Linked DNA regions of Drosophila melanogaster. The protein of the gene in region 1 interacts with the protein of each later gene in a pairwise test. Each region holds a gene or a part of one and is shown in the gene's direction. Other genes may lie near its edges. The genes, in order: Cpr67Fa2, CG6688, CG12857 and CG18563.

Region 1 (2,993 bases):
TTCCGCTACGTAAGTCAAAAGGATATTTACTTCGACCTAAAACGAGTTGTGTTTAGAATTCTTTAAGATATTTTAAACATCTTAAAATATTTTAAACTCCTATGGACTCAATCCAAAAACGTCTATGATCAATTTGTAACTGACTGGGATCCACCTGCTTTTATAGCTGCTCGTCGCCTCCGCTATCCTGGCCTGCGCCTACGGTGCCGCCACCTACAACCAGGAAGCTGGTGCCTACATCACCAAGATCGGTTCCGACATCCAGCCCGAGGGCAACTACAACTACCAATACGAGACCAGCAACGGCATCGCCGCCCAGGAGTCCGGAATTGGAGGAAACCACGCCAACGGAGGCTTCTCGTGGTACTCGCCCGAGGGTGAGCTCGTCCAGATCTCGTACGTGGCCGACGAGAACGGTTACCAGCCCCAGGGAGCTCTCCTGCCCACTCCTCCTCCAATCCCAGCTGCCATCCTTAGGAGCTTGGAGTACATCCGCACCCATCCCCAATACGTCGAGCAGGAGTACCGCAGGCCCGCCCTCAGGAAGGTCTTTGGTTAAGCGGGAGCGGAAGTCTTATGTGATAACATTTTAAAAGAGCTTTATTACGATTTAAAAAATGTTTTAAAATAAAGAAGAAAAAAATTACATAAATCTATGTTTGTTTAAACTATTTCAAACATTTTGGATGAACTAGAATAATGGGTGCTTAATATATGAAATATGGTTTAAGATCCCACGAGGAAACGTAGCAAACATATTTCAATTGCACCTTTATTATTACCTATATTAATATTTCAATTTTCTCAAATTTTCTTGTTAAAACTATTTTTTTAAGGATATGCTTACTTTACCTTCCTATTTGTTTTATAGTGCGAATATACAGGCAATTCTATGTCAGATTTTAAGAACCAAATTAAATACCACAAACTTTCCATCCGTTGTCGAGCAGAAATTAACTATCAAGTCCTTGAAATTATAGGGGTACTTGCCCTATAAAACGATCTGTAGTACTTATTCCGACCAATACCATCTACTTGACACCACTTATTTAAATAAAATATGTTCCCTTATTGCGACACAGGTTGAACTGTTTATTTTTATGGCCTTTAAAATGAACAAATATATTTTAGATAACTAATCAAAAACAATTGCTTACTTAAAAAATAGAGTTTTACCAGTAGTATCATGGGTTTAGTTTATTAAACTGCCCTTTTAATCTGTTTAATTAATCTGCTCATTTCAAAATGATAACGAGTTGATTATCTCATCTTTAATATTTTGTACCATAATTTGGTGAAATAAATCGTATAATACTTTATAAGGATCGATTGTTGAATTTAATCAATTAAAAAATGTTAATTCTTAATTAAAACTTATTAGATACTATTAAAATATATGTGAATATGACTTTTTTAATATATGCATAATTTGATGTTAAATATAACTATCTTGCCAGATGAATACTTATGCAAAAGTTAAGAGCCAAATTTAAGTGCGTTTTTTGGCTCTTTACCTTTTTAAGCCGCTCCAGTTTGATCAATCTCAGTTTGGCCATTGTCATTCATATGAGTTTCCTGCCGTCTGCCGTAAAAGTTGTTTGGGTGGATCGGGTTTCGTATCGAGAATTCGTATAAAACATTGCTGCCCCGCCACAGAGTCATCATTCAGAGTCGTCTCTTAGTCGCAGACACACGAACTCCTCCAAATCAGCCAATATGTTCCGCTACGTAAGTATATCGCAAGGATAACTATAGCACAGCAGTGGAAAACGACAATTAGTGACACTAAAAATATCAAAATATTAACCAATATAATAAATAGTTTATACTAACGATAAGGATTAACACAAAAAATAAGTAAAATAGAAAACAGTTACCGGACTTAGATACCATGGATAGAATTGGCCTTTCAAGACATTGGAAATTTCATCAAAAACCAAATTGCAATAATAACATTGTCTTCTAGATGCTCGTCGCCTCCGCCGTCCTGGCCTGCGCCTACGGTGCCGCCACCTACAACCAGGAAGCTGGTGCCTACATCACCAAGATCGGCTCCGACATCCAGCCCGAGGGCAACTACAACTACCAGTACGAGACCAGCAACGGCATCGCCGCCCAGGAGTCCGGAATTGGTGGAAACCACGCCAACGGAGGCTTCTCGTGGTACTCGCCAGAGGGTGAGCTCGTCCAGATCTCGTACGTGGCCGACGAGAACGGCTACCAGCCACAGGGAGCTCTCCTGCCCACTCCTCCCCCAATCCCAGCTGCCATCCTTAGGAGCTTGGAGTACATCCGTACCCATCCCCAGTATGTCGAGCAGGAGTACCGCAGGCCCGCCCTCAAGAAGGTCTTTGGTTAATCGAAATCGGGACTAGAATGTGCCAACATACATATGAAAAGCTTTATTACGAATCGTAAAAATGTAAATGTAGAAATGAAATAAACGTCGAAGATGTAAAGAAAACAATCTTAAAAGTCAAATTTGCGTTGCTTAGGTTTACATGGACCAAGATCAGAATTCAAAAAATAACCGTGGGGAATATCAAAAAAATAAATCCCAACTCCTTAGCATCATAAATCCAAGGATATGATTGAAGGACATTTAACGATCATAATCAAGAAAAACCATCATCTATAACAACAATTTAACAATTTCTGTTTCATACCCTTTGTTTAAAACGGGTATTCAAATCGATAAAAATAACTTTTTACTAATGCAATTGTAAGTCAGTGTGAAAACAGCAGAGAAAACGCTATAGTCGAGCAAACAATTTTTAAAAAATAGTGGGCGTAACATTTTTTTGAAGTTTGTGAGCAAAGTCTGGAAACTGCATATTTAATTCGAATTTTGTAGGTTTCATATTTCCGGAGACCTCAAAGTTCAGACAGACGTACGGACACTTGGCAGATCGATCGCAGATCCTTCATCCTGTTACAAACTTTTCATCGAATCTAAAGTACCCACTTACTCTACGATTAACGAGTATAAAACT
Region 2 (5,504 bases), on another chromosome or scaffold:
GGCGCTTCGCACTTCGCGTTTTCCAGCGGAACTTGCGGCGCATGCTCACTTAACCGAATGCGAGTTGCGAAGAAACTGAGGCTCGACTTCTTCACAGCTGACCAGCAGACCTACTAACTTGGCTTAAAGCGAGCGCCACCTGTGGGCAGAGCTTTGCACTTGGCTTCAGCGAGCTTTTCATCGTTTTATTTTGTTTTTTGGAAACCGCATCTACTGGCCACAAACAAGTCGAGAGCCAATAGTGTGAAGAGGCGGAATTGCACTTGAATTTGGCCATTTGCCTTTGGGCCCGGCCTAATTGCTGGCCGATTAATAAAAGTCAATTACCTTTCAGGTGGATGGCTTTCCGAGAAACATGAATTTCGATGTTATTGCCTGGGTAAGTATTCTCTAATTTTGACACTGCTGACGGCTTTTGGCTGCCGAACGCTTCTGCGTGCCACATAAATTTGGCCAAATCTAATTGAACTGGCAAATTGAAAAGCCAAAAACAAATTACACACACACACACCACGCACCACAATGCCGCCCAGGGTCAGTTTTGCTGGGCGCAAATTTAAATGAAATTACCAATTTCAATGCTATTTGGCCAATGTTTTAGACGACCAGAGCAGCGCCAAACTCAAATTACCGCCTCAATGGCAGTTAAACCGGCGATAACAAAACAACAAAAAAGCGAAAGTCAAATGGATGTCGATGGTTTGGCCATGCCAAACCAAATCCATTTGTCAGCTGCCAATTTCCATCAGTTATCATTGTTAGGGTTAATCGACGAGCCGGTTTTAGACCCAATTATTTATTTAGGGCCCCATTGTTTATGTTTATCGCCGTTTGACACCCTAGTGCGGTGCCAACACACTCGTCGTTGTTGTTTTAATTTCTTTTGGCATTTCGAATAATAATATTTTGGTTTACTTGCTGGCCACTCAATCGCAAATGCACTGGCCATTTGACACTGCCAACACGCAATTAAGCCGAAAAATAGTGCTGTTTATTTTCAAATTTAATTACAAAGTCGGAAAACTTTTAAAGTCAACAAATGGGAATTAAACTGATTAAGTTTCGTGTGCATTACTGCTAATAGCGATTTTATCTGATTACGATTTGTGCCAAAACCGTAACCAAACTGTATAAATATACAATTTAACACTTAATTTGCAGGTCTTGTTCAGTTTATTTTGGCTATTTATATTTGTTTGGGCTGTTTTGCTATATTTACCTTAATAGTTTTAATCTCTAGTAACAAAACATGGTATAAGTGATAAGCGCAGCTTTATTGTTTTCAATTTAAGAGAAATAGCAGAAGGTTTCCATGAAAAGCGAAGAGAAATAGCCGAAGGTTTCTATGAAAACTATTGTATTTGGCCATGTTCTCGATTTCACTTCCGCACAATTGTAGCAGCCTGCACATTCGAACCAACTAATTTACCAGGTTATCAAATGACTTAATCGCTGAAGAATTTGTTTATTTATTCGGTATATTTGAAGGTGTCACAATACGTAGACATGCAACTTTATAGCGCACCCAAAAACCGCTGCCAGCCCGAAAGTTCAAATATTTACTTAGCTCCACAAGTCTCATTTCCATGATCTCAGCTGGGTGTCAGCTTTGGATCTCGGAACTCAGATCTCAGATCTCCGATCTCGAATTCCGAATCTCGGATCTTGAACCGCAGCCACATTTTGGCGCCGAGCACTTACAACACCGCGTCAGATGGCCCAAAGTCATTAAGTTGTGGAAGGGGTTAAATGTGTGATGCTGGGGAGCTTGGCCAAAATGTTTGTCGTAGCCGATTGCGTCGGCCCAAAGCGCTCCATGTTCACTGCTCGCCGCTCGGCAACTTTTCAGCCAGCCAGCCAGCCAGCCAGCCACATACACCAGCCAGCCAGCTGGCTCGAAAAAAAATCAACAGACAGACGAAAAACAGTTTGCCAACTGAGAGCGCACGTTGAACACGTCTCTCGCTAGCCGCTTTTTATTTTGGCCCACAACGATCCGAGCACCTGTGCGAGTTTTCTAGCCCGAAAATGAGGAAATCAGCGGGAGGATTTCATTCCACATCCAATGAAGATGGGCAGCATGGCGATGGCTCCTCCGTGCGACTACTGAGAATTCCCAGAGCCGCACCTGCGATGGAGAACTACGGATTTCAGCTGACCCGCAGCAAATGGGATCCCTATCCCTGGGTAATAAAAGTGGCCATCGTTTGGAGATCCCGTCCCCTCCTAATTACCATATACCCATTACACCGACAGGTTTGCGAAGTGGCAGCCGGCACACCTGCCGCTCTCTGCGGCCTGAAACCCGGCGATTGCGTTCTGGAGGTGAGTAGAAGTTAGTGCCACAGGTTGGTGCCACCGTTGTCAGTTCTTTCAGCTCTCAGCCAGCAATGGACTGGCGGATTATGCACAGCGCAGACCAACTGCATTGGTAACTAAACTGCATTGGTAACTCAATCTGCGCCTGAACTCCAGTTACAAAATTAAGAATGCAATAGATCGACGCGGGGATTTACTTTGTAAACCTATTAAGAGCTTATTGAGACTGCTACTCAGGTTCCCAACTATGTGCATTCCACTTAGGATAGAAGAAAACAGAGTTTGAGGAACCCATTAAAATTATAATATATTTATAATCAGAAAAAAGTTCCTTTTGTTAGCTAACAGCTAGAAAAATAATGTAGTTTTTGTTGTAAAGCTAATTATGTATACTTGCGAGTTTTCAAGTCAATAAGTTCTACAAATTTGTGTGAATCGTAAGTTAAGATAAAAAGTACTATTCAGGAAAGCATTCCAATATGATGATTTGCACTTCTAGAAACAAATTCAAATCGCTATGGTCTTTTAAATTACGAATAGCTTGAGCTATGGAAGTTGGACCGTACATATATCCAAGTCTGGACTTTGCAGCCGCTATTGTAGCCGCATTTGTTGTTCTTCGTGGATATTGTTTACTTAAAATAGCAATGCAGTAAAACTTAATTGCTCGGCATCGACTTTATTTAGAAACTTTATTGGATGTGGAGTGGGGAACTAGAAACAGCTGGTGAATGCACAGCCCGCCCTAAAACTAATGACACAACTCGAACGTAGTAAAACAACTAGTTGATGACAAAGATTAATTAGCACGAAGTAAATATTCAAAGCAAATATCAGTTATCAGATAACAGATAACAGCCAATTGAGTTAACAGTGCTAGCTAAGGTTAACATCCGCAAGCAGTGCGTGCGATACAGCCGCAAGCAGTGCTTTCGAATTTGTAATTGTGTTGGCCATATTTTGTGGTATTCATTTGTTTTCTTTGGTAGCTCGTGGAAATCCAAATATTTAGATACTTGGTACTTGCTTTCTGTATGGCACTTATTTCCTAAAATAAATAAACAACATTTCCAGACATTTTCTATAAAATTCTATAATATTTTATTTCCAGGTAAATGGCAACGATGTTTTAGGCTTGAGAGTGTCTGAAATCGCCAAAATGGTGAAGAGTCAAAAGGACTGCGTCACAATTCTCTGTTGGAACAGTGAATGTGATAAGGACTGTGATACTAATGTGAGTATTTTCATTGCAGTCCTGAAATCCTTCTTTAAACCATCAAACACACTCAGTTATCCGTTCCCCATTAAAATCGCGCTAACACAATATTTTTTTCAAAAATCCATAGAGCATCTGCTGCGCCCCCATGCCCACCAGTTTGCGCCGCCTGTCCCTCGTCCTGGAGAGCATCCTGCGCCTCGTCGAGTGTCCTGTCTGCGGGGTGACCATCTCACCGCCGGCGATGCAGTGCCAAAACGGACACCTGCTCTGCGTGGACTGTCGCATCCGCTCGGAGCGATGTCCTGTCTGCCGGGACTTCTACACTCCCCGCCGAGCGCTGTTGGCGGAGCAAATTTTCCTGACCATTGCCAACGCCTTCGAGATGTGCCGCTCGGAGAACAAGCTGCGGCAGAAGCTCTTTGCCGGGATAACACGGCCAGTCGTGGGCCGACAGGACAGGATAACCGGACAGGACACCTGGCGAAAGCGCAGGCCAGTGCTGCCAACGAACAAGTTCCTAACCAAGTTGCTTGAGGGCTGCGCCTACTCGACGGATAACCTCAGTCCCTCGAATGCCGCTACTCTGCTGCGGACTAATACCACGGACGTCGCTGGCGACTCCAGTGAAATCCCGGCCAGAACATCGCCAGTGACAGCCACGCCCCCCGAAAGGACAACAATGCATGCCACGCTTGACGCGAATGCGGCGCATCCTTCACTCTCGACGAATGATTTACAGCAGGAAGGAGTTAAGCCGAATGCCGAGGGCGTTGACGAGGAATCCGGAACGAACAGCAGCCACATCTCTGCCACATCCTTGCATGGCCCTCCGCTACCAGCCTCCGTTAGCCCGGGCATCAATGAATCTTCCGGATTGCAACCCGTTCGCATACCTCCTGTCACTCCAAGCCAAGATTTGCCCCAGCAGGTTGTCCAAACTAAGCCGGCCTCGCTGTTGTACCGCTGTCCCTGCAAGCTGCAGGATCCACAGGATCCTGCAAAGGACCTCCACCAGAACTGCTGCTACAAATCCGCTTTCCGTCTGCTTTGAGCTCGGGCATCTCAATCAACAGCATCCTCTTATCAGGCGCGTCCCCAATTCGCCCCCCGCCCCTCTTGCTGTTTTCCTTTCTAATTAAATTAAATGCCAGTTGCTTGGCCAAAGTTGCTTATCGCGCAAAGAAACGAACCCGGCCAAAGGAATTGTATGGGTGTCAGGCCGGGACAAAGGCCCACGCTGGAGATGCAAAGAAGTTGGTCCAGCTAACTGCAGCGAAGAGTTCAACTTGGCCAAGTTGAGTTCTAATTGAATCACTCCTGAACGCTCCAATGACTTTGTGTCATTTGGCGTCCGAGTTGGTCAGCTCGATAATGAAGTCCGGATGGACTGCATTCAGGGAGCGTCGCAAGAGGAATAAAAATATTTTAAGTCAATTGGACTTTGTGCAAATGATCAATAGAATATGCAACATTATTTGAGTACTTGTTCATTCTAAAATCCTTTTCCCACTGCATACTCAAGGGCACAAAGTACAAACATTTCTCGCAGTGCAGTGCAACTTATGACTGCTGACGGCGACGCCACGCGCAGATGCAGGTCAATCAGTGGCAAAGTGAAGGATGCCGGACAAGCGCGTAATGAGCTTTATTTGTCATCGGGAGCAGGCATGGAACCTGTCCAGTCCCTGGTTTCTTGGTCCTGGTGGTTCCTGATGGCCCCATAATGACAGCCGCAGTTGGACAGCCATTATGCCGGCCGTTTACCATTTAATATTGATGCCGGACGAACCGCATCAATGGAGGAGCGAGCAACGCCAGCAACAGGCTTCAGTTACTCCAAACCGCATTCTTCCTATCGCTGCAGAATGGCCTCCCGCTGCTTCTTCGCCGGAGCGAGGCTGCCATGAAAATGTCATCAAAACAGGAAGTGGCAGTTTAATTTAAGCGCGTTAATTGAATTTTATTT
Region 3 (3,951 bases), on another chromosome or scaffold:
GCTTAATTATAGTTTTGTAAAAACGGGCTATTTGTTTTTATTCGTAACTGAACACACATTTTTTTGAAAAATCAAAATATTATACAATGATTGTTTTAGTTTTAGTTGTTTAGGGTTTTTTGCTATTTTACACTTGCTTGTTTACAATTCGAAATTGGAGAACAGTATTAAAAGGCCAAGGCGAAGGCAAAGGCGAAACGAGAACTAAATATATTTAAATGCGATTTTCTCTGCGCGATTCCAATTTGTTAATCAATGTCACGCGCTCAAAAACTCACACGAAAAGTTCAAACAAACGGCAACCTGATGCGCAAATGAATAAAAAAAAAAAAATCGAGACACGCAACAACTCGGCAGAAGAATTAGTGGACGACGACGACACGGCTGTCGAGCCGTTCTTCTCCGAACCTGAAGAAGAATTACAAATTGTATTCGATTTACTCCTCTAGCAAAAGAGTCTGCGGCAATGCTCAAGTTTTGTGCGTTCGCTATGCTCGGCAATTGTTACTTAAATGTGCTTTAGTTCAGAACTATGTACCCATTCGGTTGCCTTATAAAAAGGATGTTTTTGTCTCTTCTTAGGGCTCATGAAGATTCAAAATATTCCTTTTGCCCCAAACTCAAAACGTTTGTTTTCCAAAATCTTTTGTTCAGACGTTGAAATAGAATGAGAAACCAATTAGAATTAGAGAGTCGATGGACAAACAAAGAGCGCAGCATTGCTCGATTGGAAATCTTTTGCAACTAAATAATTCTAGAATGCGAAGCAATTTGTAATTTTTATTGAAATGCCAACAACTTTGGGCCGTTTATAAAATGGCCGAAAGAGGAGGCATTTGAGCAAAGGGGTAAAAATAAAACAAAAACAAAAAACAAACAATTTAAGTGTTTTCAAAAAGTCAACAAACTCATATATGCAGCTATATATATATATAAAAATAATAAAAAAAAAAACATTAATTTATTTCTTACTATATAATTATTGTTGTACTAAGTCGGTGAGAAAACCCATGAAAGAAAGAAATTCACACGAAAACTAAAAAACAAAATGCATATTTATTAAAAATAAGCAAAGGTTGTGCAAAAAAAAAACACATTAAAAAGCAACATTATTATTGTAAAAATTAACTAAATACGGCAATTGTTATTAAATGTGCAAAATTCAGCAAACACATTGATACAAACCTCAGAAAATACAAGCCAAGATCTGAAAACGGACATCAATGGAATGCAAATTTTTGAAAATATAAGGCAAGATGAACCGTGAACGGATCAAACAGAAACGGAAACGGAAACAAAACACTCAACAACAAGAAGTACAAAATGTTAAATATGTATCTATAATTTACAATTACGTTTTATATTACTCTCTAATTTACACGCTTACACAATGGAAAAATAGCTAACTATTATTGCAATCGTCCTCAAACACACAATAAAACTAGATCAAAAGGCGGAATTATTACTTTAGCTAAAATAAAATATCACCTTTTGCAATTTGTATCATTTTCTTACCCTTATTGTTTCACATCGAAATCAGAAAAAATAGTTAAAATAGCCGCATATACTCATATTAAATTGAAAAGAAACGTGTCATTGCAGAAAAGGATAAAGAAAATAGTAATATAAATGATATATTTATTCATATAAATGTATTTGAAAATGTGAACAAAAGAATACCAACAATAAAACACAATTTAATAAACAATGTGAAAGCTACGAGTGTGTTTTTTTTTTAAAACACTTAAAAACACAGTAGCCGTGCAGTCAAAAATCCAAAACAAGAAAACCAAATTTCGAAATGGAGGAGCTAATGAGGCAGAACGGACAGAAATGCGAGAGGCAGGAACTCACCTGCAGCGTTTTATTTACCAAGTGAGTTAATCTTAAACCAGTCGGAGTAATCTTAAAATATTTTCCTTCTCCTTGCAGTCCCAAGCTTAGTGCCGAGAAGTTATCCTCCAATGATGAAATAAACTCCATTGCGAGATTCGTATCGAAGGCGGAGGATCTCGAAATGCATAGAGTGTTCAGTAAGATATCAAAGAATGGTGTCGAGGAGACCACGTCTCTGAATCGCTCCCTCTTCGAGTTCGGTCATAATTTCGAGGATGCCGATGGCTGGCTGAAACTGGAGCAGCCTTGCAAGGATCGGCTGGCCACGGTGCTGCGCTACATGTTCGAGTCCCATCTGAAGACCACTGTGCAGATAGAAATCAACAATATGTACTTCAATTGCCACTTCATCGTGCTGCAGGTGTACTCTCGCTTCTTTAGTGAACTGGAGATGATTCCGCTGCTGGTCACCCTGCCCGAGAAGATCGTGTCCCAGAAGGCCTTTATGCTCTCCTACAAATGGATGCTGAGCGATGAGCCCGTCCTGGAGCTGGCTCACATTGTGGAGGTCTATGTGGCCGCCACTTATTTGAGGATCTCTGGTCTGGCGGCGCATTGTTGGAAATATTTCGATGATGAGGAATACTACAACGAGGATACGGCATGTGTCCTATACGTCGAGTCGAAGGACAATCCCGCCATGGATGTAGTTCGCAATTTGATGCTGACTAGGATCCGCAAGTTTCTGCTCACCTTTGTGGCCACCAGGGATTTCCTCGATCTGCCGACCTCCCATCTGATTTTTTTGCTCGAATCCGATCAAATCTGTGTGAACACCGAGATTGAGGTGGTGTTCAACATAATATTTATAGTTATTATTGCATTTTATATGTTTTTCTTAGGTTTTCTTTATAGCTGTTCGATGGCTGGGTCACGATTGGAACAAGAGGAAAGTGCACGTACGTCGTTTAATGTCCTGTATTCGATTCAACCTGATGCCATTGTGGTATCTACTATATGCGCGACGGGAGGAGGATCACCCGTTGGTGATGAAGCTGATTTTCAACCCGGAGGTGGAGTACAAGATCGACGAATCCATATCGAGAATAACGTCGCGCATGTACGAGGATGCCTTGGAGGGCAATGACGCACAGAGTGAGGAATACGCAAGTGATTCCGGACAGCGAAACTGGATATGCGATAGCTTGTGCAGCTATTATCACGGCGTCGGTTGTCCCAATACCCGGGAAATTCGTTTCAAACACTTCGAGGATTACCTTTCGGAATTACAACAATGCTCCAAAGATCACTGGTCTCAGGTGATATTTCAGGACCCGAGTAAAAAGATTGACTGTTGCAGCACAAGGAAGATAAAATCGGACGATTTTGTTGCCGATTAACTATTGAGTTTGAATAGTAACGACTAGAATTCAAATTTGCGGGCTTCAGTTTGTGCTAGTATAACAACTTGGCACACTTTTCTGTTATACATTGTACACTTCGTTCATTTGATATTTATGAAACAAATCAGCATATTTTTAATAATATATTTTTTAAAATGTACATCAACATTTTAAAAAAAAAGCAAGTGGTTTAATAAATATAATTAATATTTATTGTATTATTGTCGCAACTTTAAGTGTGACCATTTCTGCAACGCTCTTTGGCATTTCGGGCAGATAGGGTGGCGTGCACACTTTGCATTGTTTTGGAAAATAATTTGATACATTTATCAGGAAAATGGAAAAACTGGAGGCCCTAAAAATATCCTCGATGCGTCCGCGCAGCAACATCCTAGACAGACCACTATCCAAGGGCAAAACGGAGGTTTCCCAGAGCATTGTGGCGCTGCTTTTCAGCGAAATCGTCCAGTACTCGCAGAGCCGAGTGTTTACAGTCCCAGAATTGCAAACAAGGTGGGAGTTTCTCTAAGTTTTTGCGATTAATTCGTTAATTCCAAGGCGTTTTCAGACTCCACGATCTGGGTCAAGATGTAGGCACCCGCATAATCGACCTGTATTTCGTGAGGGAGCGCAGCTCCAAGCGAGAAACAAAACTAACCCAAATGCTTCTCTTTGTTAAGACCACGGTGTGGAAGAATCTCTTTGGCAAAGA
Region 4 (3,565 bases), on another chromosome or scaffold:
CCGAGTGTGCAAGGGATAGCCCAGAAATATATATAAATTATACAAAATACTCATTGCAAAATATGTGAAAATAAACAAACTAGCAAATATGAGCTTAGATTGTTTTCTTAATGTTATTTTTTGGAATCTGCGTTATATATAAAATGAAACAAAAACTCTTCTTAAAAAGGTAAAAAAAAAAACAATCTTTCGATTCGTGTATCACTATGATTTTACCATCAAAGCCTTCGTACACTCCTGGTGCGCTTCGTTACTACGTGGACTGCCGTTCAAAGTGACGTCTTAATATATCTTATGTATATGTATAGTAGGTGTTCTTTTAGGCCACCAACTATTTTATTTAACAATAAGAGTATAAAATATATTAGTATTCTAATATTCTAGTGTTAGCCTACCCAATACCAATACCCAGAAACGACCTTATACATTTTTTTGTTTAGCTTATCAATATTAATTGACGTTCCAAAAATTGCTAAAGCCAAAGTTTAATAAGCCTATAAAAAAGGCATTGATAGCGTATTCAATTTCTGTTTGTTATTTATTATTTATATATTATTTAATTATTTACGCATTTGTTAGGGAAAAGTTATCTCTCTATTACTTTTAAAGTTCTTAATTTATAATTTGTAAATTTCTAGCTGATTTCCTTTAAGTAGAACCTTAAAGACCCAGTTGCAATGACTAAAATATGTTTTAAAGTTCTGTGTCAAGCTCTACAAACACCCACCATAGGCTTACCTTATCATTACACTAAAAAAAAAAAAGTTAAGCAAGTTAACAATAGTCATTTGCATGTTAACATAGGTTTCAGAAAACCACAAACGATTCCAACGCAAACAGCACTGTGACTCTTCCCCCATAATAGGGGAATTATTGGGGGATTATTGGGGATTACATTAATTTGGTAACTGTTTGAAAATATTTTTATAGAAAGTTTATTTAATTAGGTTTAGTTTTGACGATATTTGAGAGACATTCCAGGCAGCAGATACAAAGCAAACAAATATATCACGTTAAAGGAATAGCGTCGAAGTTTTATCCAGATATGGTTGCCTTGAAAGGGCGCAATCACATGGTCGTGGAGGCGTCCGAGTCCGAGGCGACAGCAGGAATCACCGAAGACACCGTTGCGATTTCGGTTGATCTCCTGGCGCAACTCTGTGATTTCGTTCGACATTTGTTGAGCACTCTCACGCAATTGTTCCAATTCTCCAGTGTGCCTTAAGTAGGAAAGTGAATAAGAATTAGATTAGCCTATAGCATATAAGCATATAATTATAGCATATAATTTAAACAAAACGATAAAAATATAACAAGAGAGAATGCTACAGTCGAGTTCCCCGAGTATCAGATACCCGTTACTCAGCTAATGTGAATGCGAATGCGAAAGTTCATCATTATTCTGGGAATAAAATGAGAAAAAATTTAGATTTCGGCGGCGAAATCTCGTTAGATTGGGCGTGGCAAAAAGCTTTTTTTTTGCAAATCGATAAAAATTTACAAGACTTATAAAATTATGAAAAAATTTCGAAAAATGTTTACAGAAATTCCTTTTCACATATTGTTTTTTTTTTTTTTTGTAACTGATAAGACTTAATATAATATAAAGTGTACTAAAGCATCGGAAAGCTTGCTCTATCTCTCAGTCAATTTAATCATCCCGAGCAAACATGGGATCGATCGTGGCCACAGCAGCTATTCTTTTATTCTGCGTCCTTTCGGGCGAAGCCTGTAGGTATTGTGTCCCTATGGAGAAGTGCTTAATACTAAGTCGAAAACTAAATAGTTGCCCATTTAATCACGTCTGTTGTGACATTATCATAAAGGTGTATATATTTTGATTAGAATCCCTGTACGCAGATTTGGAATTAATATTTCATAATTTGCAGAGTCCTTATATCCCTAGCGGACCGAATGAGGAATCCGATTCTGAGTCTGCAGTATGCTTATTATTTTAAATTGCAATTGAATCTGTTTAATATTAAATTTTCAACTTTTCAGTCATCTTCTACAGAAGAGGAAAACATACCAACCTTTATCTATTTTCCAACGAGACCAACAGTCTCAAGTGAGCCCCAAAACAATGTTTCTACGGAACCTGATGTACCCATTACTTATTGGCCACTTAAAGGATCGGGCGCCCCAACAAATGATGGTGCGCAAGCTGAGCAACCAAAGCCAACTGAACGGACACAGCCAGGAGGCAGGTGCAATACGACTGGTCTATATTCCTGGGTGGTAGCCCTATTTTACGAAGAAGTTTACTTGACCGGCGGCTCACTAATTAGTCCAAAAGTGATCCTAACGGCAGCCCACAACACAATGAACAAAATGAATGAAGATAGAATTGTGGTTAGGGCCGGCGAGTTTGTCATGAACACAACAAATGAACCCATTCAGTATGAGGAGCGCGTTGTTGAAAGGATTGTGAGACATGAAGGATTCATTTTTCAGTCGGGTATTAATAATGTGGCTCTTATTTTCGTAAAAACACCGTTCGTGCTAAACGATCGCATTGGAGTATTGACGTTGCCAAGCCGACAAGCGTCGTTCGAGGGACGTCGCTGTACGGTTGCCGGTTGGGACTTGGTGAGTTCCCATGATCAAAGCCGTATGAGAATTATAAAGAAATTAGAGTTAACCGTGTTGGACAGAACGACATGCGTGGCTCAGTTTAGAAATACAACTTTGGGCAGGAATTTTGATCTTCATCCGAGTCTGATTTGCGCCCGAAGTGAAATAAACCGGGATTTCTGCTTTGGCGGTGGAGGTTATGCATTGTTCTGCTCCCTCGGAGATGAGAATCCACACGTCTTCGAGCAGGCTGGGATCGTCGCCTGGGGCATGGGGTGTGGATTGGACCTCCCGGGAATCTACACCAATGTGGCAATGTTCAGAAGTTGGATTTATAATAGGATAGCATACTTTGGCTAACGCTTAAAGATTATTACATCAATTCTTCATTAAGATTGTGATTATGCATTATTGTATAAATATACAAAATAAATGAATTTTTAATCAAAATCAAATTTAAAAATTTTTTCATTAAAAAAGGTTTTTGAGACGATATTAGCAAAGATTTTTAAATCGATGTCCATAATATTCAGCTGAATATATAGCGTTGCATTTATATAGCTTTAAATATTTACAAAAAAATAGGAAAAATAGTACAAATCGACAGTGGCTAGGAAAATCCCAAATTGGAAAAAAAATAGGCATTTCACTCGGCGATAATCCATGCATCCTAAGGTCAGTGTTATGTATATAAATGTGTACATATTTCAGATGATAATTCTTTTGTACGCATATTTGTAGTTCTTTCCTCTTTATGTTTTTTTTTTATATATGCGTACATAAAAAAAAAATTTTTTTTATATTGAAACTTTATTACGTGTTATACAGGTCACGTTACTCGAAAAGGTAAAGGGTAGATACATAACTCGATTAGTTAAAAGGTATGTAACAGCTAGAATTAAGCGTATCAAATCCTGTGAGATATATATGTATAGTCCTGGGAATGATCGTTACCAGTTTAATTAATCTGAACATTTTTTTTGAAAACTTT

The links.
Region 2: the proteins of Cpr67Fa2 (region 1) and CG6688 interact in a two-hybrid assay, tested with the Drosophila melanogaster proteins (one large-scale study listed by BioGRID).
Region 3: the proteins of Cpr67Fa2 (region 1) and CG12857 interact in a two-hybrid assay, tested with the Drosophila melanogaster proteins (one large-scale study listed by BioGRID).
Region 4: the proteins of Cpr67Fa2 (region 1) and CG18563 interact in a two-hybrid assay, tested with the Drosophila melanogaster proteins (one large-scale study listed by BioGRID).

What each region holds. Positions count from the first base shown.
Region 1 is NT_037436.4:10,890,052-10,893,044, forward strand, and holds Cpr67Fa2 (cuticular protein 67Fa2), read left to right. Parts: upstream 1-1,662; 5' UTR 1,663-1,716; coding exon 1,717-1,728; intron 1,729-1,966; coding exon 1,967-2,359; 3' UTR 2,360-2,465; downstream 2,466-2,993. Other genes in the region: Cpr67Fa1 (cuticular protein 67Fa1), read left to right, coding at 1-9, 167-559.
Region 2 is NT_033777.3:23,010,486-23,015,989, forward strand, and holds CG6688 (uncharacterized protein), read left to right. Parts: upstream 1-1,926; 5' UTR 1,927-2,028; coding exon 2,029-2,187; intron 2,188-2,256; coding exon 2,257-2,325; intron 2,326-3,430; coding exon 3,431-3,553; intron 3,554-3,665; coding exon 3,666-4,589; 3' UTR 4,590-4,990; downstream 4,991-5,504.
Region 3 is NT_033778.4:14,757,407-14,761,357, reverse strand, and holds CG12857 (uncharacterized protein), read left to right. Parts: upstream 1-1,755; 5' UTR 1,756-1,801; coding exon 1,802-1,875; intron 1,876-1,932; coding exon 1,933-2,683; intron 2,684-2,738; coding exon 2,739-3,236; 3' UTR 3,237-3,451; downstream 3,452-3,951. Other genes in the region: Trs31 (TRAPP subunit 31), read left to right, coding at 3,577-3,752, 3,808-3,951.
Region 4 is NT_033779.5:17,456,131-17,459,695, reverse strand, and holds CG18563 (uncharacterized protein), read left to right. Parts: upstream 1-1,651; 5' UTR 1,652-1,670; coding exon 1,671-1,826; intron 1,827-1,889; coding exon 1,890-1,940; intron 1,941-2,001; coding exon 2,002-2,934; 3' UTR 2,935-3,026; downstream 3,027-3,565. Other genes in the region: CG5050 (uncharacterized protein), read right to left, coding at 950-1,220.